Linked DNA regions of Arabidopsis thaliana. The protein of the gene in region 3 interacts with the protein of the main gene of each other region in a pairwise test. Each region holds a gene or a part of one and is shown on either strand. Other genes may lie near its edges. The genes, in order: UPP, AT1G49580, AT3G46810 and AT5G14600.

Region 1 (7,332 bases), 2.7 Mb from region 3:
AGCAGAAGAACTTAATAATCATTTCGTTTTCTGCAGATTGGATATCAGCATATTGATTGTGCTTCAAGATATGGCAATGAAATTGAGGTAAAATTCACCGATCCGAATCTGTATCTTCCATAGTTTGCTTCATATAGTTCATCTTTTGACGGCTCGTTACTTGATTTGCCTTTATATAGAACAGTATATAGTATGATCGTTCTTACTCGATTGGCTGTTTTATGTAATTCTTACTAAGGTTAACCAATTTATATTTAGGAATGACAATTGCACACATTGTCTTGTGTATCTTTTTCTTAAACTAGCTTTAAGTTATGTAGGATTAATGGAGTTATTTGTTATAGACTGTTTACAAGTTCATTTGAAATGTGGCTTTTTGTTTTTCTTGATGGAGAAATTGAAAGCTTTTTTTAACCTGCAGATTGGGAAAGTTCTGAAGAAGTTGTTTGATGATGGCGTAGTGAAGCGTGAGAAGCTGTTCATCACATCAAAAATCTGGTATTTTGTTCATGAAGTTTCTGCATCTCTATCATTTTTATGCATTTTCAGTTTCCCTCGTTTGCTTAAGCCTCTTAACCTATTAAAATCTACAAATTATGCAAGCACAGGTTGACTGATCTTGACCCTCCGGATGTACAGGACGCATTGAACAGAACTCTTCAGGATCTGCAGCTTGATTATGTTGATTTGTATCTCGTAAGCACGACTTCTTTGAACAAATGCTGATTTTTTAATAAGTTCTAACAGTTTTCAAGATCCGTTCCTTTCTTCAATATCTAGCCTGAATTGTCCGGATCTCTGGATTTGAAACTATACATATGCTTGCTTATACTTTGATTTGTTTCATTTGATATTTTTTTCAAGATGCACTGGCCTGTTCGGTTGAAGAAAGGTACTGTTGACTTTAAGCCTGAGAACATTATGCCTATCGATATTCCGAGCACATGGAAAGCAATGGAAGCACTGGTTGATTCAGGCAAGGCAAGAGCCATTGGCGTAAGTAATTTCTCTACAAAGAAACTCTCAGATCTTGTGGAGGCTGCTCGTGTTCCTCCCGCTGTAAACCAGGTGGAATGTCATCCTTCATGGCAACAACATAAGCTACATGAGTTTTGCAAGTCCAAAGGGATCCACCTCTCAGTAAGTTTTAAAACACTAAACATTTCCAAATCATTTAATGAGTCCGAATGTCATATTTATATACACTTCGTGAATGTTGATTGTGGCAGGGATATTCGCCATTGGGATCTCCTGGAACAACGTGGGTGAAGGCCGATGTTTTAAAGAGTCCGGTTATTGAAATGATTGCTAAAGAAATCGGGAAGTCTCCCGCACAAACCGCGCTTCGATGGGGACTTCAAATGGGTCATAGTATACTTCCCAAAAGCACAAATGAAGGAAGAATCAGAGAGAACTTTGATGTCTTGGGATGGTCTATTCCAAAAGAAATGTTTGACAAGTTTTCCAAGATAGAGCAGGTAAGTGAAACAATAAACCACATTTCTGCAAATTTCGTATCTGTGAGTAGTCTTAACTGTAACCTCTTGTATTTTGGATTTTGAATCATCTCTGTGCAGGCTAGGTTAGTCCAAGGCACGTCGTTTGTTCATGAGACGTTGAGTCCTTATAAAACACTTGAAGAGCTTTGGGATGGTGAGATCTGAATCAAAAGATGTCTTTTGTTGAATTTTAAAGTTGAAAAAGAACAAAGTTCCACTGCTTTAAGCTTTGATCGAGAATGTGTAAACGATTCAATTTTCAATAAAAGTAGGATTTTGCAGACATATTAACAATCTCTTATGTTCATACAGTAAATCACTAATCCGAGAGGTTGATGATAGATAATCTAACAGTTATATTTGAAAGAGAAATATAGACGAGTATTAGACTGTAGATAGAATCTGATTCCATTGGCCTCAAAGCCTAATAATTATCTTTAATAAAGCAGAAAAATCGAAAACATGAATTCGCATAAAGAGAAACTAACATTTTCAATTCAATGACAAAGCCACATAGCTAATAAATCGAAACCTCAAAAAACAAACAAGAGCTTATGACATTGTCAGATTGTCTCTCACTGTTGTTTAGCTTCGACCTTCTTCTTCTGCCAGAGCCTGTCCACGCCACTGTCTGCGTCTCCCTGCAGATGCAATCATAATGTCAATATACATATACAATCATGAACTTTGTTATAACAACTGTGGAGATGATTATAAAGTAATTAGCAGAGTGGAAATTCACAAACCTGAGCACGGACAAATCCGCAGAGAGCAAAAGTGGTGAATTGGCCAGTGTAGAGACCATTAGCATCAAGATGACCAATGTTAAGCTGAACTGAAGCATGATCCTTTGATGTGATCATTCTGTTTGTTGCCGAGCTAAACAAATTACCATTACACAACAATAGAATCAGCTTAGGCTACTTAATTAAGACAATTAGCTTAAGATTTTAATCAAACGTTACACAGAGAACAAAGAGAGCTGATATATACCATTTCCTTGGAATGTAGAGCTCTGTGACCTGACCTGCGTCGTTCTCCATTTTTGAGATTTAGCTTCAAAAAAAAATCGATCTGAGCAAGTAAACAAACAAAAAAACTAATCAGATGAGCAATAGAACCTCGAATTAAGAGATTCATCAAGAATAATTGATCACATTCAACAATAATATATAATCAACAAAAGACACAACGAGATAACTAATTCTGAAATCGAAACCTAGATTATTCCGATGCGTTAATTAGCAATACAGTGAAAGGAGATTAAGATACTACGGAGAAATTCTCACCTGCGAGGAAGAAGAAGAATCTGAGAGAGGTTTGGCGGCGACAAAGATAGGGTTTGCTTAATTCATAGGTTTATTAGATTTATAGTAGCGAGCTAGGGTTTGCTTATTTCATAGGAATGACTACTATACCCTTCAACTTTTAATTGAAGAGCAATAAAAACCGATCCAATTAGAGCGGTATACAAAATTAAATCAAACCGAAATACTAAACTTTTTCAACCAGAATTGTACCGACAGTTAATTGTAACCGGAATCGAACGTAACCAAACCATAAATACTGGTTCAGTTTGGTAGTAACTTAAGTTCATTCAATTTGATAACAAACTTTTATTATTGGTTCAAATGTTTGCTTCATGGATGAATTTTTCAGATTTTCTTGCATACTTTTTCCCAAAATGGTTTGTGGTAGACAATTGAGAATGATACACATAAAATGGTTGACAAGTTTGTTCTCTGTTTTGTAATAATGAGGAATTCAGTTTTTCTTGTTTGTGAAATTTTGACTCTTTATCGAAACCCTCTCAAGAACCTGAAATCACACATCAAAAACAAAGTACAAGAGACACAATATATAATCTAACGATTGTGACTGTTAAAGTTTAACAACTCATACAAGTATCACTTCACCCAATGTGTTTCTGTCCCGAAACTGCGGTCTCCAGCGTCTCCAAGCCCAGGGATTATGTACCTAGTTCATGACAAATACATAAGGACATTAAAATACAATCGCCAGTTTTCATATGGAAAGCCAAAGAACCTAATGACTTACCCCTTTTCATTGACTTCAGGATCAATAATTCCAGCATATACATGAAGCCTGAAATGTTTCAAATAGTAGCCAAACAGTTTAGTAAAAAGAGAGTTAACTAAATGGTAAGCAAGGTGAGAGTTGATCTTTTGCTATTGATTACCCGGGGAATTTCTCGTTAAGCTTCGATAGTGCAGGAGGTGCAGCAATCGCACAAATCTGTAATCAGAAAAATCAAAACAATTAACACTTCGATTTCTGACAAAAGCTGTTTCCTATATATATGCTTACCACTTTGATTTGCTGAACAGACAAACCACGTTCCTTCAATAGATCCATCGCCGCCATTATGGTACCACCTAAAATACAAGTTACTAAGTTACTAAACCTACGCTTCTAGCTATGAAACATTCGTATTACCATGTCATGCGTTCACATTCACATATTATCGTGTACATTTGAACATCAAACCCTAACTATACTTCTAATATGGAGGTGGCTAAAATGATAAGACTTTCTTACCTGTGGCAAGCACTGGGTCGACCAAAAATACTCTTGAATTCTTGGGAAATTCATCAGGCAACCTAAAGAAGATGTATCAAAGGTGTTATTATAAACACTTCAGTAACTACAAACACAATGCTGCAGAGAAGTTCTTACTTGTTAAGATACACCGATGGTAAAAGTGTTTTCTCATCTCTACTTACTCCTGTAAAAGAAAAGAAGCACGGGGACATCAATAAGCTATTTGATAAAAGTTTTCATTTTTGACATCCGAAGTTCAGGCAAGAGATGATATATAGCTAGATTACTAACCTAAATGATAAATTTTATTAGCAGGTAAAACTGAGGATGCGTGTTCCGCAAGAGCAAGACCAGCTCTTAATATCGGAACAACCTACACAGAGACAAAACCAAGAATTAGAAACGCTTACATGTAAGGTCGAAAAGAAAATATAGACAGGAAGAGTTTGAGGGATAAACAAACCGCAATAGGCTCTCTAGGATCAATGAATTCAACAGAAGCAGGACCCATTGGAGACATTATTTCACCCACAACAGTTGGCTTAACCGCATAGAGCAAAAAACAAAAAACAATAAGCAAAAAACGGGTAGGAAGAATTCAAGAATAATAGAGATGTGAAATTCTACGCACCAGCCACTCTCGTGATGCTTCATACATGAGTAATCTCCCTAGTTCAGCTATTGCATTCCCTAGATAATTAAAAAAACTCAAGCTTTAAAGATCAACACAGACTTATACTAGTAGCAAACCTAAAAAAACTCATATTCAAACGCAATGTAGCAGATAACACCAATCTAAGAGCTAAAGATTGTCCAACGAATCAAAAAAAAAAAAAAAAAAAATGGATGTAAAATTCAGTTCTTTAACAACAAACACTGGTTAAATCGCAGAAATACTCATAAGAATCTTATCTACTCACTGAAAACAGGACAAGGAGTTTGTTCATTTCTCAGAACAGAGATCCAGTGTTTGATCAAAGGATGTGGTGGCACAAAGACCTGAAACACCAGAATCAAATTCACATCTTTCACTTTCAAATCAAACTCAAAAAAAATCTGAAAATTGAAATCCTAGAGTTTTATTACCAGCATCCTGTTGCTCCCGTTAATGGAAGCCTCCGACGCAGCCATTTTTGTTCTAGCTCGTATAGTCCGTCGGGAAAGTGACGAAGAAGAAGCACCCAAATTCTTTAAAATAATCCAGAAATTCGAAAATCAAAATTCAGTTTGAATATGCAAAAGGCGTTACTGGAAAAGTGTGCTTTGGACATTAGAATAAATATATATATATACTCGATACCTGTGCGAGAATTGGGGAGGAATTAAAGGAGAGGAAAGAGGAAGGATTAGGGTTTAGGCGGCTGCTGCATTGTTGTCGGGGAGCAAAACGCAGCGTATCAGAAGAACACCTGAAAGCGTTACCAATTGAGCACGCCATTTTCGACGAGATGTCCGAATCTGGTTCGAGATTTTTGCAATGACGATAGCGCGGGCGAAGATTAACCGGTCGTCACTACTGTACCGAATAACTTTGGGTCTACTTATTACACGGCCCATTGGGCTTTTATATTAATTTTTAGCAATTTCTTTCCAAACAGAAATCTACAAATTAAGGAATAAATTAATAAATAATTTATTAATTTACATAGAGAGTTTTCTAATGTAGTAACTTTTTAAAAGTTTCTACAAGATATTTTTCATCATAGAGAATATCTTTCTAAAACCAATTGCAAGTAAAAAATAATTATCATGTCTATAAAACAATATCAAAAGTTTTGATACAGTAAAATATTATAACTAAATTCAAATAAGAACAAATACGAGTTTAAGCAAAAAAATATTAGAAATTTCTTACATATAATATATTAGATATATATATATTTTATATTTATACAATTACTAATTTATAATATTGATGGGATCATATATTTACATAGGATTTTCAAAAAAATTATTATTTTATTAATTTATCAATTTGTGTCACTTTTTACAGTCCCAACTCGGGACTGGAAAAAATTATTAATCTTATATAGATTATTAATTTATCGAGTATTAATTTATAGAGGTTTTACTATTACAATAAACTTGAAAACTTATTTAGACTAGACTCCTTAACTCTTCTCCTCTTCAACTCATTCATCAGTTTTTGTAACAAATCTCTGAAACTGTACAAACCAGACACGGATTCTTTGTCTGAGAATTCAGGCACAATTAAGAAGTCCTAAGCCCTGTTTGAAGATTCTCAAAAGTCTTTAACCAAATACAGCAAAAAATGTTTAGAGAAAGATCAAACCACAATCAAAAGTTTGTAAACCGAAATAGCAACAAAAGTCTAGAGAAAGATGAAACAACACACATAGAACCATGTCTTGTGGATGTAAGAAAGATTCACTTACCCTCTGTAGCAAAGTGATGTCTTTCTCAATGGTAACTTTCACTCTCGGCTTGATAGCTTTAATCGCTCTCTCCTCGTATTTGGCGAGTCCCTGAAGATCTGAATCTATCACTTCCTCAATTCTCTTCTTCCCAATCTTTGTCCTCGTAGCAAAATAAGGGAGCTCGGTGACCGAAGAGGCCACAAAAGCAAAATCGAAGACGTCATCATCTCCGTCCAGAGCACGAATGAGTGACTTTAGAAACGATATCATAGCGTATGCTGAAGTGAAAGATCGGGAAGCCTAGATCGGAGATAACTCGAAATGTTAAGTCCCGCGAAAGAGGAAGAGAAAAAAAGAATTCACGGAAGAAAAAAAACTTAAAACGGAGGACAAAGACGAGAAGGAAGGTGATTATCATCCGATTCACTTCCAACCCGACGATTGAACACTCCAAGTTAAACGAGAAAGAAGGACTCACGGTCCGAGTTTCTAAGGAACATCCGAATTTCTTTCAACTCTCGGTCATACTTCGCAAAAGGTAATCGGATTTTATGACCCGCATGTGAGCTAAGCTTTAGCGGGTTAGACCGAGTTAAGAGACATAGAGAATCCGAGAGGAAGTACCCCGAGAAAAGAAGAACCAAGAAAAAACTTGATCCGAGAAAGGAGTTGTCGTTAGGTGGTTAGATATAATCTTTTTCAATTAGTAAAATTAAAAATTAAAATTTTTTTATATATATAATAGCAAAAAGTATGAATTGTTTATAATTGATAAAATATATAATACTAAATTACATAATAAATTTTATAATTGGTTCAATTGAAATTCAATATAATAATTGCACAAATGCAAGATAATTGATACAGCTATATTGTAAAAGTAATCGAAGGAT
Region 2 (8,116 bases), on a different chromosome or scaffold from region 3:
CAGACTGGAGGACCGTTTTGGCCCGTGCCTTTGGGACGAAGGGACTCATTAACGGCGAGTGAGCAAGCGGCGAATACAAATCTGCCATCTCCGTTTGAGGCGTTGGAGAATATAACAGCCAAGTTCGTGACCCTTGGACTCGACCTCAAGGACGTTGTTGTCCTCTCAGGTTTGGTCACTTCAACTAACGATAAATTATAGAGATAAAAATAATAATATCGATTGACTATTGTGTTAATTAACCAAAATAATAAAAACAAACGTAGCAAAATCGATTATTATAAACAAACTTAGATAGAGTAAAGTACTTCATTAGGCATGTATATACATGAATTTATGCTACGATATGACTATACGTGTATGTAGGAGCACATACTATAGGATTTGCTCAATGTTTCGTGATCAAGCATAGACTCTTCAACTTCAAGGGCTCAGGCCAGCCTGACCCAAACCTAGCCGCTTCCTCAGCACTTCTCTCTAAGCTAAAGGACACGTGTCCTAACGTGGACTCCTCAGACTCTAAGCTCGCTGCTCTTGACGCAGCTAGCTCAGTCAAGTTTGACAATGCTTACTACGTGAACTTAATGAACAACATAGGACTGTTGGATTCTGATCAAACCCTAATGACAGATCCTACGGCTGCCGCCTTGGTGAAGTCGTACAGCGAGAATCCGTACTTGTTCTCGAGGGATTTCGCAGTTTCAATGGTTAAAATGGGGAATATCGGAGTTATGACCGGAAGTGATGGAGTAATTCGAGGAAAATGTGGATTTCCAGGTTAAGTTATATATAGACTCTTCACAAAATCCAAATCAGTCTATTATATATCTAGAGCTAATCTAGCTTTAATGAGGAATCAAATAAACCAAAGTCTATGAATAAAATATGTTTTATATATATGGTGTAAAAGCGTCCTTATGTATCAATATATATATATATGGATCCCATAAACAAAAATACTTGGACTTGTATGTGTGTTACGTTTGTGTGTAATGGAAAATGTATTTGTCTTTGTATTTTTATATTCCAAAATTAAGTCGAACTCCCTCACTTGAACGAATATAAATATTCTTAGTTCTTGATTGGGGTTTAACTAATGATCATAATTTTACATCTTCTTCCGAAAATCATGGTTCTTTTTGTTGATATAACATACATTTTCTTAAAGTATTGAATATACTAAGTCTACATAAATATACACTATCTATCAAAAGTCAAAACAAACAAACATCTTAGCGTGAAAAAAGAAAACATCTTCGAAATAGTTAAAGTCTTAAAAATTGCAACAATTCTTAAATACACTAACTTTTTGTTTAAAAAAATAAAAGAAGATCTTAATTCTTAATGATGAAAATACATAGTTGAAAGAGAAATGATGAAAATACATCCATCAAGCCCAAATACAAGCAAACCCCATTTCATATATTTCCACTTTAAATTCAGACTTGATGCATATATTTGTTAATTAGAAAAATACGTTTGAACATATATACATTTATTTAAATTTTGCGAAAAAGAAGCAAATAAGCATTGAATGATGATATACATCCATCAAATCCAAATGGAAGCAACCAACTTTGTAGGTATTGTGTTTGTTGATTACTGATTGGAAGACATAAATTTTAAACCATTAAAGTTTCTCCAACGACTTCAAGAAATTATCAAGATTAGAGTTAGTGGAAGAATGAGAAATACTTCATACTATAAGCTATTTTAATCTATTATACATATATAGTCTAAATACAAAATAGTAGTTAGGTTACGTACACCATCATGTTAAATGCAAAACACAAACAGCCAATAGAGAAATATCATATAATTCATGCAAATAAACTAAACATTATCTATTCCACAAATGAGATTAATTTTTTATTTAAAATATATACATATAACAACTCGAGGTTTAGTTTTAAGCGAAACGTATATGTGTGAAAATTAGTTAATGAACCTTATTTTTTCTTCTTTTATAGCTGGTTATTTCTTAATATTCGTGTTAATAACATTAGTAAAAACACAGTAAAGATTTTTTTGTCTAATATGATAAGTAATAATTAATTAACGTTACATGTCCGAGACGACCGCAAATTTGGGGCATACCTCTTGGAGCATTCGTCATTGTCTCGTTGATGTGTTTTCATATAACGTTTGGATAATTTTCAATTTAATGTCAAGACAATTTTGAATGCTAGTTATTCTGATCTCAAAAGAAGATGCTGACCAAGATGTTTATCTCTGATGTCATGCCTTGCACAATTTCAAACCAACCTACTCCTCTTTCTATATATACGTGGAGCCAAGTTTGTCAATCTTATGATTTGGTGGTACCATAGAGTCGAGTTGGCTGGTTCTCGCAAGGAGTTTCAAAGAGAATTTCAACACATGGACGGTTGGTGTTTCACGATGAACTAGCTCAAGTGATCAAATGTGTGGTTAGAGTCACACTCAAACTTGTCTTCTTTTTGCATAACTAAACGAGACATAAGATAACTTATTCTTTGAACTCTCTCGATTGAGATTGGCATAACACTCATTTTCTAACGGCTTCTTCTTTTGATAATATCAAATACATTCTTCTTCAACTATCTTTCCAAACTTCCAGTTGACCGAATATAACAGGAAAGGAATGAACGAACACAGACTCAAGCATACCACATTATTGACGTCTAATCGACGTAAAGATTCACCACATAATTCACTCCTTCTCAGATTCTGACACTTCTCACCTTTAAAACATTATGCAAACATAGTTTGGGGATTGTCGTTAGTTGACTCTTAGTTATTTAGTATGTCAATTTTTGTTTGTTCCAAACTTTCAAGAAAAAAAAAATGAATTTGATTTATTTTTTCTATCAAAGATATTCGTAAATAAAACAGATATTTCTTCTTCTTTGTGGTAACATATTTTTTGCAAAAAACTTTTACGAAAGAAACTTGTAAACTCTAGAAGCATATAAATAAAATAAAGTATATATTGGTTAGAACCTAATTACTAGGCTAAAAACTACAATTCATTATGATATTTTTTAATTCCAAATCTATACAAAATTATTTCTTACATAAATATATATGTAGACATGTATTCAATAATTTTCATGATAAAACATAGGAGTATTTTTTACAACTAGAAGGTTACATGTACTTAATTATCCTTAATTGTACCCACCAACTGTCAACTATATATACATACTCTATTTTTTTTACAGCAGCTATAATTTTCTTTATTTAAATTTTGTAAAGGTTCTGTTACTTCATTAAATTCAATTTACACAAACTTGTACAAAAAAAAAATGATCTCACAACCGTTGAAAAAATGACCTCATTTAAAAAATATAACAAAAATAAAATATGGGACATGAATGACAAACATAACAGATCGGAAATATATTTAAAAGACTGCAATAAATTAAGGTCATTAATACGTGGCCGGAAGCAACTAATTTACTAACCAATGCACACATCTACTTGCTTCGTCTTCTTCTTCCTTCTTCTTTCTACCACCATTTTCAGATTCAAAATTCAATTCTAACAGTTTCACTTCCCCTGCTCCTCTCTCTCTCTCTCTCTCGCTCTCTTTCTCATGTGATCTCTCTCGCTCTCTCTTTCTTCTCTAAAAGCCAAAACTTCGATGGCATTACTGTGATTTTCCTCATAAAGTAAGCTCCTTTTTTTCGCCGGAGATTATGGGAGGCTGTACTTCCAAACCCTCCACTTCCTCCGGCAGACCTAACCCTTTCGCTCCCGGTAATGACTATCCTCAAATTGACGATTTTGCCCCTGACCATCCCGGTAAATCACCAATTCCTACTCCTTCCGCCGCAAAGGCCTCTCCTTTCTTCCCCTTTTACACGCCGAGCCCTGCTCGCCACCGCCGCAATAAGAGCCGCGACGTCGGCGGAGGAGGAGAGAGCAAGAGTTTGACTAGCACGCCTCTCCGTCAATTACGCCGTGCGTTTCACCCTCCGTCTCCGGCGAAACACATACGGGCGGCGCTACGGCGGAGGAAAGGGAAAAAGGAAGCTGCTTTATCTGGGGTGACGCAGCTAACGACGGAGGTACCGCAGCGTGAGGAGGAAGAGGAAGTAGGGCTTGACAAAAGATTTGGTTTTTCTAAAGAGTTTCACAGTAGAGTAGAGTTAGGGGAAGAAATTGGACGAGGACATTTTGGGTACACTTGCTCTGCTAAGTTCAAGAAAGGAGAGCTCAAAGGTCAAGTGGTTGCTGTCAAAATCATCCCAAAATCGAAGGTAACAAAACTTGAGTTTAGTTTCTTGATCTTGATGATTGCATACTCTCCATTGTAGTGTTAGCTGATAGAATTGAATGTGTTTTGATTCTTTTTTGGCAGATGACAACTGCAATTGCTATAGAAGATGTGAGAAGGGAAGTGAAAATTCTACAGGCTTTATCTGGACATAAGAATCTGGTACAATTCTATGATGCATTTGAGGACAATGCAAACGTCTACATTGCAATGGAGTAAGATCATTATTTTATCATAACCTTAACCATTTCCTTGTTTGATGTTGAATTTAGTTAGGTTTTAGTTATGAATTTGGTAAAAAGAACCTATTGTTTCATAATTGGATTTAAGTAGTTTGAATTTGCAGGCTATGTGAAGGTGGTGAGCTTCTTGACAGAATACTAGCAAGGTGTGTGTCTGTGTGCTACTAAAGAGTTATCGATACTTATGGCCAGAGATTGTTCTTATTTTATAAAAAGATTCATCGTTTTTTTCTACAGGGGAGGGAAATACTCAGAGAATGACGCAAAACCAGTGATTATACAAATTCTGAATGTGGTAGCTTTCTGTCATTTCCAAGGAGTTGTTCATCGAGACCTTAAACCAGAGGTGAGGCACAATTTTGAACTGGAAAGAAGATTATGTTTTACTTTTATGTGTAGAATGTTTTCTGATCGCTGCTTCATCATCAGAACTTCTTGTACACTTCCAAGGAGGAGAATTCTCAGCTTAAAGCGATAGACTTTGGCTTATCAGACTTTGTCAGACCAGGTTCATCATCACACATTTTACTATGTCACTATTTCTCCAGTTCTTTTTCTTCTGGTTAGTAAACTAAAAATGGTATTTTGTGCCCCTTTTTTTGAAAGATGAGAGACTAAACGATATAGTGGGAAGTGCATACTATGTAGCTCCCGAAGTTCTACACAGATCATATACAACAGAAGCGGATGTGTGGAGCATCGGAGTCATAGCATACATTCTACTATGTGGTAGCCGTCCGTTTTGGGCAAGAACTGAATCCGGAATTTTTAGAGCTGTTCTTAAAGCTGACCCGAGTTTCGATGAACCTCCTTGGCCCTTCTTGTCTTCTGACGCTAAAGACTTTGTTAAGCGGTTATTGTTTAAGGATCCCCGGCGAAGAATGTCAGCCTCCCAAGCCTTGAGTCAGTCATTTTTAATTTCACAGCTCTTTATAGTTTTATGTCTCCTGTCTTTTGGTAGTCATAAATCACCAAATTCAGTTCCTATTTACTTTTTTCAGTGCATCCTTGGATCCGAGCTTATAATACGGACATGAATATCCCTTTCGATATCTTGATCTTTAGGCAGATGAAGGCGTACTTGCGATCTTCTTCATTACGCAAAGCTGCTTTGAGGGTATGTTTTAGGCATTCTTTTAAAGTGTCGAAAAGAGCATTGAAGATTACTTTCTCACTATTATGTGCTTTCTTTTCACAGGCGCTATCGAAGACGTTAATCAAGGATGAAATTCTTTACCTGAAAACTCAATTTTCTCTTCTCGCACCAAACAAAGATGGCCTAATCACAATGGATACCATTAGAATGGTTTGTGACACTATAACTTCTTTTATATTCCTTCCTCTTGAGAAAAAAAGAGAAACACCGTAGTAATCTAATCTGTATTGCATTTTTTGTTTCTGTTTAAACAGGCACTTGCAAGCAATGCAACAGAAGCAATGAAAGAATCTCGGATCCCAGAGTTTCTTGCTTTGGTAAATGACTGTGTTCTCTCGGATTTTGATAAATGCTTTAACAATTTGGTGTTAATGATCCTTCATTGACTGGCTTTTTACAGCTAAATGGACTTCAATACAGAGGAATGGATTTTGAAGAGTTTTGTGCAGCTGCTATAAACGTTCATCAGCACGAGTCGCTTGATTGTTGGGAACAGAGCATTCGACATGCTTATGAGCTTTTCGACAAGAATGGAAACCGAGCTATTGTCATCGAAGAACTTGCCTCTGTAAGTTAAAGCATCTGTCTTCAGCTTAAATACAAAAATATCGAAAAACAGATCCTCTAAAACGACATGCTTTTGAATTGCAGGAACTTGGTGTTGGACCATCTATACCGGTACATTCAGTTCTACATGATTGGATCAGACACACTGATGGAAAGCTTAGCTTCTTCGGGTTTGTTAAACTGTTACATGGAGTCTCTGTTCGAGCCTCGGGGAAAACTACCCGGTGAAGATAACGAAAACAAACATGACCTAAGCGAAATCGTAAAAGAAGATGTCAAAACCTTTACTCTAAATCTTGGATTGGTATTGGAAATGTAATAGTTGGTCAAAGACTGTACAACAAATGAAAAGTTTCTTACAAGAGCAATTCTAAAAAAAAGATTGTTGTAATAATATAGTAACCACAGATACTTTGATACTCTATGTGAAGTCAAGAAAATGAAAAAGAAAATTCCAAAAAGATTTGATTTTTGTCTCTCTTTCTTCCCAATGATTATGGAATCAGCGAAATCTTGGTTATTTCCGGTTTGTTACTGTGCTTTAATTTGTGAGATCTGAGTCGGTGTAACCAGTGAAAACCGGTTCTAGTGATGGAAATAAATTAGAATTTAGAAAACAAACCAAACCGATTTTCTTCTCCCCCAATTTTATATTTTGCTTCTCCTCTCGAGTTTGGGATTCGAGTTTAAGGAATTAGGGTTTCTAATCTCTCTCTCTTTCTCTCGAGATTTTTCTTCACTTAGTTCTTGATTCTGATTAAAAGTTGATCTTATAGTTCCGGTAACTTCGTTTTCTGGGTTTAATTTTCGATTCAATCTTCATCTCCTTGATCCACAGCCATGACTGAGGTAAATCAAAATTCGCATCTTTTCTCTCCAAATCTCTTTGAATTACGAAACCTCTGTCTTGTTTCGTAATTGAAATTGATCTTGAGTTTGTTTTTTGTGTTATTTCAGTATTGGGTAAGTCAAGGGAACAAATGGTGTGAATTCTGTAAGATATGGATACAGAACAATCCAACAAGTATTAGAAACCATGACCTTGGTAAGCGTCACCGAGAATGTGTTGATAAGAAGCTCACTGATATGCGTGAGAGGAGTGCAGCCAAAGACAAAGAGCTCAAGAAAAACGAAAAACTGCTTCAACAGATCGAAGCTGTGAGTAATCATTCTTGTTTCTTTTGCCAGTGATACTTATTCTAACGTATTTATTTCTGATTCCATTGTTTATATCTCAACTTGTTTCAGAAAGCAACTCGTAGCTATCAGAAAGATATTGCAACTGCTCAGCAAGTAGCTAAAGCAAACGGTGCACCAGAGGATGGTACATCCGGTAAGTATCTCTCTCTATGATGTCATTAGTATTTGTTCTTCGACTTATAGCTGCTATATTCAGGGTTGTTGCTTAGCTTTGGATCTGTTTGTTATAGACTTAACATTACTGAGGTCGTAGAGTATGTGTGAATTGGATTTGTGAATTGCTTTCATTGACCAAAAGTATGAACAAACCAAGCAGCGTCTGATTCTTCGATTGTCATATTACACATCTTTGCAAATGACTTATAAGTTTTAATGCCTATAACCCTATAGAGAATCATCACGAAAGAGCGAAACGGTTGCTTCTTTTGAGTCACTCTCAGGTTCTTTCATCATTTTGATTGCCATTTTTCTTAGCCTTTTTCATTTATACATATACCATGTAGTAACCATATTGTTATGGCAGATTGGATGCTCGACAGTGCTTCAGGCTATTATTACAACCAGACCAATGGTCTGCACTATGATTCACAGTCTGGATTCTATTACAGTGACTCAATAGGTATGTAATATATATCGAGTTTTTTTTATTTGTTTCCTTGCAAACATGATTGTATACAATTTCGTCGTGTG
Region 3 (7,038 bases):
CAAATGCACATTGAAGTCGCATATTGAACAATGATAACCAACTTGCAATCCACTTATACACAAACTACAACAAAACCGTCCACATTTCAGGTTGAGCTTGAGAGGATGTTGAGGATGGGAAGGGTGTTTGATCTCTGGTACCGACTCGACGCACTCCTTATGGAAGAGGGTATCACAACCTACCTCATTGCAAACATAGCCACCGTAAAAATAACCAAAAACACTGCATCCTTTACAAGTGTCCATACAAATCCGATCAAAGATGAACAAAGGATGCTCGTGAACTGGTAACTCTACCTTTTCCATCGCGGAATGATATCCAAATCAACCTAATCTCTTGTGATTTGAAGGAAAAGGTGACTTTTTTTTTTTTTTTTCTTTTTTTTCTTAAATGGAATGAGATTTTTAATTGCTGTAACGATTCAATCTCTCAACTCGATCGAAGAAAATAATTTATAGACATACATCCATACTTTCCGGGAATTATTCATTTTTAATACTCCAAATAAAAGTCGTCTCTATAATAGTTATCTGTGTTATTAAATATTTTGATCGTACTCATAGAATTATAGAAATTCCATACAACTACTTTATAGTTTATGTTATTATGTATAATCAATCATCCACTTGAGTAGATCCAAGATTAGTGATAAGATTTTTTTTGGCCCTTTCATGACTTTTATTTTCAACGTACGAGCTAGCTAGTTGGCTACCAATTTAATCCGGGAGAACAAAACGATCGTCATCTTGCACATATATAGGTTTTGGTGTGAGTATTGGGTTCCCGGAGGCGAAATAGCGAAGAACTGTGCTTTCTTGAGATACAAGCAACACAAGAGCAACGGGGTTTTACTTGTCGATGCCACTAGTTTCTCTGCTGTTTCCGTGGTTGCAGATCCCACTAGAGACAGCTAATTCTGCCGATTTTAATTCATTAAAAATACACAATAATACTGTTATTAAATCACTGGATCCTAATAGTACGTTATAGACTTATAGTCTGCCCAATTACAACTCTAATCTTAATTATATTAACTTCCACTTGTGCGGATCCTATGTTTGTGACGAATGTGTTATTTTGCCTTTTATTAAATTGTAGAATATTAATACAATTTGCTAGAGCCTAGAGCAAACTCCTTGAAAACGGAAAAACCATGAATCTATTGTTATGATGAAGCTGCTTTGGCGGTACATGTTTGGCGGCTTACGTAGGGGAAATAGTTTAAGAGAAGAACGCTACTTGCTTGTTAAGCAAGAAACCTCCGATAGCAACAAAAAAAGAAAGTACCATAAGATTAAATTTATCACTGCTTTTGGAAGACAGTATAACTAAAATTGTTGAATAAATTAGTTTGATCACTAGTTAATTATATAAAAAGCACTATACTGATTTGATCAAATTAAATGCAAGTATTTAAAAAAACTATAATTTATGTAAAACATTCTTTTATTCACGGAGGTTGGCAAAAGAGAAAAACAACGATAGAAACTGTACATTAAGTGTTCCCACAACATTACTATCATCATACACTACAACTATTGAGAACAAATTATGACCACAATAGTTGTGAGTGTTCCCACAACACTTATTACAACAAAAGTTTCCTGTATTTGAAGAATATAAGGAAGCTTGCATCCTGAAGAACACCTAAAAAATTTCTTCACTCGGGAAATCAAAACATAGATGCCATTTTTATAATTTTAAATATTGGGCTACCAGAGGTGAAACAGCGGAGAAACCAGAGCATATATTCGGTGCTTTCTCCATATACAATCAACATCTACTAGTAAAGAACACTATGTTTTAAGTGTTAGTGTTCTTAGATAAGAATCCATGAATGGAAGTACCCTTTAGTGCATGTCGGATACATATATGTATAAATTGTACATATAACACTAGGGGATTCATATATCGACATGTGAAAATGTAGAGAATGAAAAGAAAGCAAAGCAAATTTTGGGTAAAAGAAAGATGATAACTGTACAAGATAGAATGCAATTCAAAACCAAAACTTTTATTATGATAGTAGATAAACAAAACGATAATATAACAAGAGAAAAACTCTCCCAAGAGAACTATCCCTTGGCCTAACCCGATAAAATCCTTCAACGCTCTCAATTGTTTAGATAGGTTTCACAAACAAAACCTATCATTATTAATAATAAACGTAAAGTAAAATACTCTTTGAAAAGTAAATAAGAAAATAGAAAGAAATAAATAAACCAAGTGCGCTACTAATAATACGACGACTCCCAAGGATTTTTATGACAATCATTAGAACAAAAGTAAACATTAACACCATCCTCGGAGGTTTCAAGAATGCAAGGGAGTTTGCATCTAGTGTGACACCTGGAGCAAAGTGGTCTACAAATCGAAGTGTTTGGCACCACTTTGTATAAGCTTACTACCGCGGGCGGTACCATTTTGTATTCGCTAACTACGGTTGATAATGGTCCTGGCATATGATAGGAGAAGTCACCCACAACGCAAGAAACATGTAAAGTGACCCCACAAGCATCACATGTATAGAACCATGTCTTTGCATCTACCCTTTTTTCACATACGTCACACCAGTATTCACCATCCACATTATTTTCACCATAAGACAAGAAAAGTGGATGGTCATCGTACCTTTGCTTCATTACTTTTTTTGGTAAAGTTGCGCACCTGAAATCCAACCTAAAGTCACACTCTTCACAACATAACAAATGCCTTCTTGTTATGTGACAGATGTCGCACTTCGCAACCGCCGAAAAGGTGAAGAACTTGTAGTATAAAGGATGTGGATGCCTTTCATGAACAAATGGTTCAAATATCGAACCACATCGTATATCCATAACTTCGGTACGCGAGTTATACGCAATATGCAGATTATACGCAAATCCAGTGAAATGTTGGAGACAAAGACTACATTTTCTTCTTAGGCGTGAAGAATCCTTGCTATCGTCTGTTTGTAGAGAGAAGGGTATGTTGCACAAAACATGCCTTTTCTTCCTAGGCATATTAGCACATGTTTGATGTAAAATAAAACCGCATAGCTCACAACTATAGAACGGATCAGTATTGATCTGGGAGACGCATGCTTCACAAAGCTTGCTTTCATGGAGATTTATACCATCATTGTTGAATATTAAATCATGATCATGACTCATGTGCTTTATTGTGTTCTCATCAACCACCTCGAATGGCGCAATTTCTTCTTCTTCCGGTGTTCCTTCTAGTTCTACCATGTCCCATACATCTTTTCTAGTTGCACATAATGAATGAACAACGTAACTAGAACATTTCGAGCAGGAATAAGCCCCGTAGAACCCATCCACTGTTTTGCGGCAAACTCCGCATTTCAAATTCCCTTGTCCGAGATGACAAATGTAAGAGATGCGATGATCATGGCGGTTGATGTTTATGATGCGGGGTAAGTCGATACAACCTCGATGAATCATGAAATTGCATTGAAGACAAAAATAAGGGCTTCGGTCACCTTGTGTCCCACAAGCATTGCAAGTAAAATCAAGAAGTCTTGGAATGAGGTGAAGTTGATGCTCGTGGGTCTTCGGAGTAACAACAACTAGTGGTGGTGGGTTTCCCTGACAAGAAATGCATATGCTGAAGTTACAAACATCACAGTGATAAAGCTCATATTTTTGGCCTTGTTGATCTTCAAACTCTCTTCCGCAAAGAAGGCATTTATGGTCGGCGTAGCTCGGGGGTCCATTTTTGAGATATTTGAGAGGGTGTTTGAGATGAGAGTTGTGGCGTGCATCTGTGGTGAAAAAGAGCTCAAGGCAAGTCACATGAATGTAAAGTTTACACCGACGACATTCATAAAAAGGAGCGCTATCTCCATTGCCGATAATGTAGTTACACCCTTTGCAATTGCCAGTTTCTGCAAGCCATGCTGTTTTGAAAGGTTTAAGAGGATGTTCATGCACCTTGTAATTCTCAATACTAGAGAGTTGTGGCTGAAGTGAGAGTGGTGGGGACTTCGCACAAACCAAATGCATACCAAAGTCACATATCGAACAAAAATAACCAATTCCCACCGGCCGTTCACACAAATGACAACGTTGACGTCTATTGCCAAGCTTAAGCAGATGCTTGGGATGGGCATGGTGGCTGATCTCGGGTTTGGACTCAGCGCACTCCTTATGGAACACCGCAAAACACGCCAACTCATTGCAACGGTAGCCTCCATAAAAGTAGCCTTCACGTGAGCACCCGGAACAACGGCCAAAATAAAAGCGTTCAAAGGGTAACAAAGGATGGTCATGAACCCGTAGCACCACTTTTTCCATGCTGAATTCACTAAATTAATCAAACCTCAATCTCTCTTCTCTAGTGATCTCAATGTTATTATCAAGAAAAATGAATTTGTTTTCCTTTCACAATTTACATTGATGATCTAAGTAAAATAGTTTATAGATATATCCATATATTTTAAATTATCACTAGGCCACTTGAAAAATATTCTTTTGCCGATGTCAACTGAGAGACAGCTATGTCTCACCATGTCAATCGATACTTTCCGAGTTTAATTCATTAACAATACTAATTAATACTTTGTTAAATAATTTGATCCTAACTATACGGTACTTTGTCCAACCATTACTCTAATCTTTATTAAACGTAGACTATTTGAATTATCTTCCACTTGTGCGGATCCTATGTACGTGACGAAGGTGTTATCTTTGGCCTTTATTAAATTGTAATATCTTTCTACAAGTTGTTAGAAGCAACCTCATTGAAAACGACAAAGCCATCGATCTGCTGCTGGATCTTCTCCAGTTTAAGTGTTCTTCCAGGATTTAGGGTTTCAACCAAATGTGCTCCAGCAGGTTCTCCATTAGGGTTGTCTCATCGTCATTGTTTGCAATGTGACAGATAAAACAAAGCCCTTTAAAAAAGAATACAGCTACAACTGCTACTAACTAGTGTTTAGAGAACCCTCGGTTTTACTAAGAATCCATGAACAAAAACGTCCTACAGTGACAGCAGTATTCTGATACATACACATAGAGTATATATACACTAGAGGATTTGTATCTACTCTGACATGTGAAATAACAGAGAATGAGAACAAAGCAGAGCAAAAGTTGGGTTGAAAACGTTTGCTTATTATAGCCTAAAATATATATTTGCAATTGCATTACTATGTGTATACTTTCCATTTGTTTTGGTTAGTATAGCCTAACCATTCGACACCATATACTCATAGTAAAACGTTTTCAAAGTGAGAATGGCTCTCTATGATACTTTATTAACAGTTTATTAACGGTCAGAATAAATTTTATACGTTGATTATTAACATTTTAATTTAAAGTGTTGATTTCGTAGGGCATGGTGATCTGAATATTTCAATAACGATAACATAGACTATAGAGTATGTAATGAATTGAACTTTAAAAGCATCGCCAGCGTGGGGTGATTAGAATATAGTATTATCTTTTTAGGTAAATATATATGTTAAGGAGTGGTCGTATACATGCGATGATTGTGGAGTCAATTAGAGAAAACCACAGCCACAATTACAAATCTGCTGCTAATTAGTGTCTAGAGAACCCTCTGTTTTAATAAGAATCATGAACTGAAGCATCCTGCAGTGAGGTTCTGATACATACATATAAAGTATTATATACACTTAGAGGATTTGTATCTCTGACATGTGAAAGAACAGAGAAGGAAACAGAGCAAAAAATTGAGTTGAAGAAACAAGATCATATTCAAAAGAAGTGGCAGAGATGATATAACCATGTAAATATATATATTGTTGCTTTTGCAACTTCGGAGACTACTCGTGGAGGTTCAGAATTATCCGCCACCAACATCCGTCGTCGCTTTTTCTCCTCCCATTCTTCCCATAAGATTTGAATCAGGGTTATAACTTAAGAAGGACTGCAAAAGCAAATTTGTGAACTTGTAAGAGCTCAGACGAGCAACAACGCTTTCAAAGCTCAAAAAAGATGAAACATGGAAACTGCGAAACAAACTTTTAAAAGCTCTTTGACTCGCTGTAAGTCGAATGAGCAACTATCAGAATCGAAAATTTAAGAAACATGAGATTCGATGAAAGCTAGTTATGGACTTATTATGAGATGCATGAACTTTAACTATAATATTGCAGATGAAACTGATATAGCTAGCTGAGATTCTGAAACAAAGAGGAAGTTCAACGGTTTTTGAGAAACACTCAAATCTGTACCTCTTTCTCTTCAAAAGAACCGCGACCTCCGATCCACAGGCTTAAGAATTTGGAAAGAGCACATTAAACTTTCGTCGACACTCATCAATGCACCCGCATTGTCAAATTCACCACAGTAGTTTGGAGCAGAAAACATAGTCACAAGCTGTCTATCAGCAAAGAACTCATACCCATCCTCTACAACCTGTGGGAGCATTATAGGTTCTTGAGCAGCAGATTCGATTTCCCAAACAAAAAAACTAGAGGAAACATTTATACAATGTACTAACCTGGTGGGCACGACAGACTAAATCCATATCATTCTTTATTAAAAACTCAGCAACTTTGTCAGCACCAAAAGTGTAGGAGACACCACGATCATTCATCCCCCAGCCTTTGACATCTTTACTAGGATCAGACCAAAGAAGGTCACAGAGCAAACCAGCGTCTGGAACATCAGTTGGACGCTCTATGTTCTTAATTTGTTCCACATTGATCAACTCAGGAGATAGTCCACCATGCATACAAAGTATCTTTTCATCTATGACAGCAGCCACAGGGAGACAGTTAAAAGTATCGGTAAACACTTTCCAGAGCTTCACGTTGAATCTTCGTTTACATTCGTCATAGAATCCGTAAATTCTGTTAATAGATGCACACTCATGGTTTCCTCTTAAGAGAAAAAAGTTTTCAGGGTATTTGATCTTGTAAGCAAGCAGAAGACAAATAGTCTCCAAACTCTGCTTTCCGCGGTCAACGTAATCTCCTAAGAATAAGTAGTTTGCTGCAGGAGGGAAACCTCCATACTCGAAAAGCCTCAATAAATCTGAGTATTGACCATGAATATCACCTGCAACAA
Region 4 (7,269 bases), on a different chromosome or scaffold from region 3:
AGAAGATTGCTGATTAGTCTGAACCGAAGAGCTTACGGGAATAGCAGCAAGCTTGGGAGGAGCGGAAGAAGCCGGTCTCTCGTACTGAGTAACATTGGTTTCTGGATTCCAAAAGTAGAGGTACCCAGTTCTACTATCCACAAGACCTTTCCATGGCTTAGGGAGATTCGGATCCTCAGGAGCGTAACGAATTGCAGAAGCAGTAGCAGCCATACCAAATTCCTGGAAGAACAACATGTCGAAACCAATAATAGCTAAAATTTAAACGATCAACAGGGAAAAAAAACAGAACTTTGCAATTCACATCACTATCAGAAAACAAAAACAAAACAACACCAGAAGAAACTATCAACAGAAGCAAAGCAACCCAATGACAAAGACCATCACTTTACCAGAAAGCATGGATTTTTTAAGTCGAGAAACACACACCAAACATATAGACGGAAAGAAGACAAAAGCGAAACTTTTTCACAAAAGGGTCTCTGATTATCTCATTACACCACAGGTTGAGACACAACGCCAACAAAAACCCTAACATGCAGAAGAACAGATTCGACCTCGTTACTCTTCAGACAACAAGAGAAGACACTAACAAACAGAGAAATATAACCCAGAACCTAAGGAAAATAAAAAATGCAGCTAAAATCCCCAACTACAGAAAATGGTACGGCAAAGACAAAGAGAGATATCGACATTTCGGCACGAAGAAAAAAACGAAATTCGAAAAATGTAGGTCTACGAAAAAAAACAAGAACCTGATTTCACTGTCGAGAGAGTATGAGAATGAAGAGCAAAGGAAAAACCAAAGAAGAAGACCTAAATTCCTCTCTATAACTCTACGCCACAGAGAGAAGAGGAAACGCAGAAAAGAGAGAGACTGGAGTGGAGAAAAGTAAGGAGTGAAATCCGTGCCGGTTCGTTTCCAGCTACATTTCTTTTCTTTTAATATAATATCGAGGGCCCTCTCAATTCCTTATTGGGCTTAATCTTCTCTTAGCTTATCTTAAACATTTATTTGGGCCCATGTTATTGTAGTCCCTTAAAAATCACTCTATACAGATTGAATCAAGTTTTTTTTTTTTAACATCTGATTCATTCATTGATATGAAATCAGATACAATAGTTGGTCATCCAAATTACAAGAAAGTTATACAAACATATCCAAGCAGAATTGCAGAAACAAAAGCATAACTAATTAGGATTTAGGACTATATGAACAATGAAAACTTATATTATATGGTGCTTTTTGTTGTCCTAAATCTCTATCTCTCTATATAAGTTTGGTTTCTTTTTTTTAGCCAAAACCTTCTGAAAGTAGGCCATAATTTCCTCTATATGTTTTTACTTTAGAAAAACAAAATTATGTATAAAGAAATTCCAATCTACTCATATCATTACCGATGTGAATGGCCTAAGCCACAAGCTAAGCTATTCACATCTTAAGACTTAAGCTTTGTAAAAGGCTTTATCAACTTGTTTTACAAGATTTGTTAACTCTTTACTCTTTAGTATGTAATTATGTATTAAGGTTGGTTATGGTTAAATTTGTGGGTTTGATATGATCTCTATCATCTAGTTCGTTCGTTTACCTTCAGATTAATATATTAGAGTTGGCGGGAAGAATAAGGTTTCTTTATTTATACGAACGATGAAATTCAAGTACATGAATACCAAATTAAAGAATGAATGAAACTACCAAATTCAGATGAATTCGGACAAGATTTACGAAAACGAAGAAACAATTTTTCTTGTTCTCAACTTTCTACATATCAGAAGCCAAACAGGCGAAACTTTGTTTATATCGGTCATTGACTTCTCTGACGCATCTCCTTGAGATTTCTCCAAAGGTATCTTCCGCTAGCCATATCAACGAACGTCCATAACCCATTATCCATCTTTCTCTTGAAATCGAGTCCTTGTTTTTCCTTGGCTTCGGCTTGTAATAACTCGTCTGAGAATAGTTCCGGCGTAGAATTCACCGTCCTCCACGCGATATATCCTGCGAGTACCGCCGAGAAGAACACTAATACAAATCTCAAGGGACACATAATTTCTTGATGGATAAAGGGAAAATTATAAGAAGAGGAAAAAAGAATTTGGATTTTGATCTCAGGCTTTCGAAGAATGGATCTCTAGGGTTTGTGAATAGACAATTGTAAGAGAAAGAAAATTAAACAGACGTTTTCGATATTTATAGAGTGCATTACATGTCTCCTTCTCCCATCGAGAAAAGGAAACGCGTTTCTATTTATATATTACTTGTAGAACAATTTATCTCTAGAAACTACTATTTATCATATTTCAAAATTTTGGATTTTGGTTTTGTCATTACCAAATTTCGAATTTTGTATTCTAGAAACAAATTCACAGCAATTATTTTTTTAACAAAAAGAAAGCGTAATAAGACAAATCATGAAAATATCTAATACATGAATATCATAATGTAGTTGGAGAATTTGGACTAAGCTAGACATTGGAGTCTTGCAAACGTTAAGTAACCGGTGTGACCTCTTGCTTCACTACAAGGCCGAGCCATGACGACTGAAGAAGCATTAGAAGAGTTGTCCTGTGAAACAGTGTCGTTTTCGTTTGAACGGTGCTTTCTCTTGCAAGGCCTCATTCCTTCATTGTCCTCCTCGTGGCTCTCACCAACCATGCTACTGGTATCCATTTTCACTTCCTTCACTTCATATGTTCTGAGAAGCACCTCAAACGTTCTTATCTCTGCAAAAAACAAACTCATCATGAGCAAAAACCGGTATAAGAAAGAATGAAACTCTCAAGGAAATAAGGACTTATATGCCTATGACAGTTGGTTTTGATTCCCCTGACTTTCCAAGGCCAAAGAATGTCAAACTATTTCTCTAAAGATACTTATCTACTTAAAGCAATCCTTTCGACTTATTAATCCAAAGATGTGTGACCATAGAAAGTCGATGATACATATTGGAAAAAATTGTAGACTAAAGAACAGAACTTCAGTCTATACAACATGATTTTAGTACTAGCCACTAGGATTTGAAAATCGAGGAGAGGTTCAGTCCCAAATTCACTACTTTAGTACTTTGATTTTTAGGATCCTTCCAAGGCAAGAGCATTCGGATAATGTGTAGATCTAGAGCTCTTTTAGTTTGAGTTGGAGAAGAAAGTAGAAAGAGATGTTGTAAATCAGAATAAACTTACCAATGAAATCTGATCTGAGGACTTCACAAGTCCGTTGTACTTGCTCGATGCAAGGTGAGAAAGAGCATAGAACTCCATCCTGCTTTAACATCTTTGCTGCAGAAGGAACCGCAAGCCAAGGCTGTGGAAGGTCTAGAAACACAGAATCAGCCAAACCTGACAGTTTCTCAGGAAAACCCTCTCCTTGAATGTCTCTAACCTCTACGGTTACTAAACTACTTATGCCCGTCTTCTCAAAATCTTCCCTGTTGCAAAGTAAAGTAAAGGATGAATAAATACTATAGCTTCAAAAGAAAAGCACAACGAGATAGCTAAAGAAAACGAAAGTTTCTACCTTGCAGAGACAGCTCGCTGCTCATGGAAATCAAATGAATAAACGTGTCCAGTTGGAGCCACAGCTCGAGCAAGTGAGGTCGAAAGCGAACCACTACCTGTGCCTGACTCAAGAACAACACAGCCAGGCACGACTTCTAGATACATAACCACAAAGCTAATATCCGCAATGTAAAGAATTTGAGTCCTGTGGCTTAAAACCAATGTCCATAGTTCAGGAGTAGGAGCCAACAGGTACACAAATTTACCCTTGTTGCTGAATACTTTCGTCCCTAATGGTTTCCCAATCCAATCCGAGTGCTTATACACACCAAAACGGTTCTGAAGCACACCGTCTTTACTTACTTTAACTGGTTTCATCACATCATGTCTTTCGTAAACAATAACTAAGTCCCCATCTTCAATACACCTTTTGAATGAAAAGGCTTTCTTTGACTCAGTTGGTAACATCTTGAGATTATGAAATCACTTGTAGATTGAGTTCCAGCTTCTGCTCTGCAATTCCAAGTCTCATTGTTAATTACTAAACAACACACTTTTTAACTCAGAAAACAATGAATTCTCACAAATCACGATATATATTCCCAATCTAGCTATCAATCCAAAGCTACGCATTCTACGCAATATTGCACAGCCAATCAAACACATTGAGATTCAAAATCATTGTAATGAATTAGCTTAGATGCACAGAAGAAAAACAATTTAAAGTTTGATTAAGTTAAAATTTAAGAAAAAAGCTAGAAAAATCCCATTCACGGATCCAAAAGTCCTAACTTCAACGAAGAGACACAATTTTTTAATACAAGCGGGTAAAAAACTGGAACCAAACACAATTACCAGCTTCTATAAGATAAAAAGCTGAAAGAAACAGTTTAACAATAGCGAAAAACGACAGAAATACTCACAGAGGAATAATCACGAAGAAAGCTAAGAACTTGAGCTGATAATGGAGTTTGGGTAATAATGTTTTGTGAGAAGGAAGAACAATAAATCTGACCAGACAAAGAAATAAAACCTCTAAGTAGGGTTTTCGCTTTCCTTTTTTCAAATCAAATCGGACATTGAGACCAACCGGACCATATTACAGATTTGGTACCTTCGAACCGGCAAATCCGGTTTGGGTTTATATAGACAGAAAAATTTACTGGGCCTTATGTTGGGCCTACTGAAATAATCTATACGGCTCTCTTTTCCTTCTTGTTTACCTTGCCTTTTCGCCGGAATCGTCGATTATTAGAGAGCTCAGAGCACACTTTAGCAATAAACTTGCCGACCGAAAGCTGCAGATTCACTGATTCAGTGATCGAAGTTGAGAGTTTGGGTTGAGGTCGGAGTCTCGGATGCTGAATAAGCTCACGCACGGCGTTTTCACGTACCGTGCCAGCCTCACCGCCATGTTATCTTCTTCAACCTCTGCTGGTTTATCGTCTTCGTTCGTTTCTTCGAGATTTCTTAGTTCCGGTATATTCTCTAGTGGCGCTTCGAGGAATCGCGTGACTTTTCCCGTTCAGTTTCATCGCGCATCAGCTGTTCGATGTTTTGCTTCTTCAGGCGGTTCTGATAGAATTCAGGTTCAGAATCCTATCGTTGAAATGGATGGTGAGATTCTTTGCGCAATCAGTGTTCCTTACTTACATTTGATCGTAGTTTCCAGATAATTGGTTGGATTGGTATAAGTCATTTGTTTATGTTCTTACTGAATTTGGTATCTTTGAGAATGTTTCTAATTTGTTTATATTTTGTGGAAATTCAGGCGATGAAATGACGAGGGTGATATGGAGTATGATAAAGGAGAAAGTAAGGATGTAATTTATCACCAAGTCTGCAACAGTTGGTTCATTTTTTTTTGACAGAGCTCACATGTCTGATTTCTTGTCTTTGCAGCTTATTCTTCCTTATCTGGATTTGGACATTAAGTACTTCGACTTGGGGATTCTGAATCGCGATGCTACTGATGACAAGGTTACAGTTGAAAGTGCAGAAGCAGCTCTTAAGTAAGTGCTATTGATTCTTTGCATTTTCTATGGTTTAGATTCTTTTAGTAACAGAAAACATTTTAATTTCTATGTGAAATAAGCTGATTTCGCGCTTAAAACTTTTATGTTTGCAGGTACAATGTTGCTATCAAATGTGCCACTATAACTCCTGGTATGTGATGTCCTTCGCAAATCGCAACACATATGCTGCTTGTTCCGATCAGAGGAAGCATTTTTACATCTTCTGTATGTTATTTTTGGCAGATGAGGGTAGAGTGAAGGAGTTTGGACTGAAATCAATGTGGAGGAGTCCTAATGGGACGATCAGAAACATTCTAGATGGTTTGTCTCTGTATTGTCAAAAAACAATGCATGTTTGCTGAATAGGAATATCTTGGTTAAATTGCTTGCGACTTTTTATTTTATCCTGTTAGCAGGTTCTTTTACAATCTAGTATCTACACATTTCTTACACAGTGTTCTATATTTTCTAGGAACCGTATTCCGTGAACCTATTATGTGCAGCAATATCCCCCGGCTTGTTCCTGGTAAATTTATTTGCCTTGTTATGAATCTGTGTTAGGATCTGTTTTGAGATACCAAATGAGAACTCAAATCTTTTGTCTTTATAGGTTGGGAAAAGCCTATATGCATTGGTAGACATGCCTTTGGTGACCAGTATCGTGCCACTGATACAGTAATTAAAGGGCCAGGAAAGTTGAAAATGGTTTTTGGTAAGATCATACCAAACTATATTCATTAGACAATGAGGATTCTTCAATCATATAGTTCAGATTCTAAGTGGATACATCTCTTGTCTAATTAGTCCCAGAAGATGGAAACGCACCTGTGGAGCTAGATGTATATGATTTCAAGGGCCCAGGTGTCGCACTTGCTATGTACAACGTAGATGAGGTCTGTCTCTTTTAGTAACTGGCTTTAGTTTTGGCATGGTTTTGGTTTCTGACAACCATGCTGGTTTTGTGACATGCCAGTCAATTAGAGCTTTTGCTGAGTCATCTATGGCGATGGCATTAACTAAGAAATGGCCATTATACTTGAGCACCAAGAACACAATTCTCAAGAAATATGATGGCAGGTTTGTTTTTATCTTCTTGGTGATTTGAAGTCTGGGTTTCACTTTTCAGCAAGCGAGCTGCTTTAATATGTGGTGGAACAATACAGATTTAAGGACATATTTCAAGAAGTTTATGAGGCGAATTGGAAGCAAAAGTTTGAAGAGCACTCAATCTGGTCCTTTTTCTTAAAAAATTGTGTTCTGCGTCCTTTTTCTTTACATATTCATTAAAGGTAATATGTGAATAATACTGTTGGTTTAGGTACGAGCACCGGTTGATTGATGACATGGTGGCTTACGCAGTCAAAAGTGAAGGTGGCTATGTCTGGGCTTGCAAAAACTACGACGGTGATGTTCAAAGCGATCTTCTTGCCCAAGGTATAAATTAAAAAATATAGTTCTTAAAATTATTATTTTTGTATCGATACAGCAACTAAGATACTTAATGCTTCCTTTCTTTATTCTTTTCTAAATGTAGGGTTTGGCTCATTAGGCCTCATGACCTCCGTTTTGGTTTGTATCGTTAACCGAAAGCCAATATTCAATTTTTCTTTGCAAATGAAAGTCTTGATATGATATGTTTTGTTCAGCTGTCCGCTGATGGGAAAACACTCGAGTCGGAAGCGGCTCATGGAACAGTAACTCGGCATTTCCGACTGCACCAAAAGGGACAAGAAACCAGTACTAACAGCATAGCCTC

What was found.
Region 1: the proteins of AT3G46810 (region 3) and UPP interact in a two-hybrid assay, tested with the Arabidopsis thaliana proteins (one large-scale study listed by BioGRID).
Region 2: the proteins of AT3G46810 (region 3) and AT1G49580 interact in a two-hybrid assay, tested with the Arabidopsis thaliana proteins (one large-scale study listed by BioGRID).
Region 4: the proteins of AT3G46810 (region 3) and AT5G14600 interact in a two-hybrid assay, tested with the Arabidopsis thaliana proteins (one large-scale study listed by BioGRID).

What each region holds. Positions count from the first base shown.
Region 1 is NC_003074.8:19,953,508-19,960,839, forward strand, and holds UPP (uracil phosphoribosyltransferase), read right to left. Parts: upstream 5,569-7,332; 5' UTR 5,500-5,568; coding exon 5,362-5,499; intron 5,343-5,361; exon of another isoform or gene 5,250-5,342; coding exon 5,148-5,249; intron 5,061-5,147; coding exon 4,982-5,060; intron 4,752-4,981; coding exon 4,693-4,751; intron 4,603-4,692; coding exon 4,525-4,602; intron 4,435-4,524; coding exon 4,353-4,434; intron 4,246-4,352; coding exon 4,197-4,245; intron 4,121-4,196; coding exon 4,059-4,120; intron 3,896-4,058; coding exon 3,828-3,895; intron 3,756-3,827; coding exon 3,700-3,755; intron 3,606-3,699; coding exon 3,558-3,605; intron 3,477-3,557; coding exon 3,407-3,476; 3' UTR 3,083-3,406; downstream 1-3,082. Other genes in the region: AKR4C11 (NAD(P)-linked oxidoreductase superfamily protein), read left to right, coding at 37-87, 422-498, 609-696, 865-1,140, 1,230-1,478, 1,578-1,664; AT3G53890 (Ribosomal protein S21e), read right to left, coding at 2,075-2,140, 2,246-2,378, 2,493-2,542; AT3G53910 (malate dehydrogenase-like protein), read right to left, coding at 6,349-6,393, 6,458-6,717, 6,918-6,939. UniProt on the Arabidopsis thaliana protein: Uracil phosphoribosyltransferase (UPRT) that catalyzes the conversion of uracil and 5-phospho-alpha-D-ribose 1-diphosphate (PRPP) to UMP and diphosphate.
Region 2 is NC_003070.9:18,347,931-18,356,046, forward strand, and holds AT1G49580 (Calcium-dependent protein kinase (CDPK) family protein), read left to right. Parts: upstream 1-3,393; 5' UTR 3,394-3,680; coding exon 3,681-4,244; intron 4,245-4,345; coding exon 4,346-4,476; intron 4,477-4,607; coding exon 4,608-4,649; intron 4,650-4,740; coding exon 4,741-4,849; intron 4,850-4,932; coding exon 4,933-5,011; intron 5,012-5,109; coding exon 5,110-5,406; intron 5,407-5,504; coding exon 5,505-5,620; intron 5,621-5,701; coding exon 5,702-5,809; intron 5,810-5,913; coding exon 5,914-5,976; intron 5,977-6,059; coding exon 6,060-6,227; intron 6,228-6,310; coding exon 6,311-6,454; 3' UTR 6,455-6,704; downstream 6,705-8,116. Other genes in the region: AT1G49570 (Peroxidase superfamily protein), read left to right, coding at 4-169, 367-782; AT1G49590 (C2H2 and C2HC zinc fingers superfamily protein), read left to right, coding at 7,067-7,075, 7,184-7,384, 7,475-7,559, 7,950-8,045. UniProt on the Arabidopsis thaliana protein: May play a role in signal transduction pathways that involve calcium as a second messenger.
Region 3 is NC_003074.8:17,236,237-17,243,274, forward strand, and holds AT3G46810 (Cysteine/Histidine-rich C1 domain family protein), read right to left. Parts: upstream 4,388-7,038; 5' UTR 4,297-4,387; coding exon 2,236-4,296; 3' UTR 1,995-2,235; downstream 1-1,994. Other genes in the region: AT3G46800 (Cysteine/Histidine-rich C1 domain family protein), read right to left, coding at 1-306; TOPP5 (type one serine/threonine protein phosphatase 5), read right to left, coding at 6,211-6,384, 6,470-7,029.
Region 4 is NC_003076.8:4,704,215-4,711,483, reverse strand, and holds AT5G14600 (S-adenosyl-L-methionine-dependent methyltransferases superfamily protein), read right to left. Parts: upstream 4,594-7,269; 5' UTR 4,422-4,593; intron 4,012-4,421; 5' UTR 3,967-4,011; coding exon 3,518-3,966; intron 3,429-3,517; coding exon 3,184-3,428; intron 2,725-3,183; coding exon 2,462-2,724; 3' UTR 2,321-2,461; downstream 1-2,320. Other genes in the region: AT5G14610 (DEAD box RNA helicase family protein), read right to left, coding at 1-213; AT5G14602 (methyltransferase-like protein), read right to left, coding at 1,806-2,048; AT5G14590 (Isocitrate/isopropylmalate dehydrogenase family protein), read left to right, coding at 4,857-5,115, 5,270-5,313, 5,401-5,510, 5,627-5,664, 5,757-5,834, 5,986-6,039, 6,124-6,225, 6,318-6,406 and 5 more.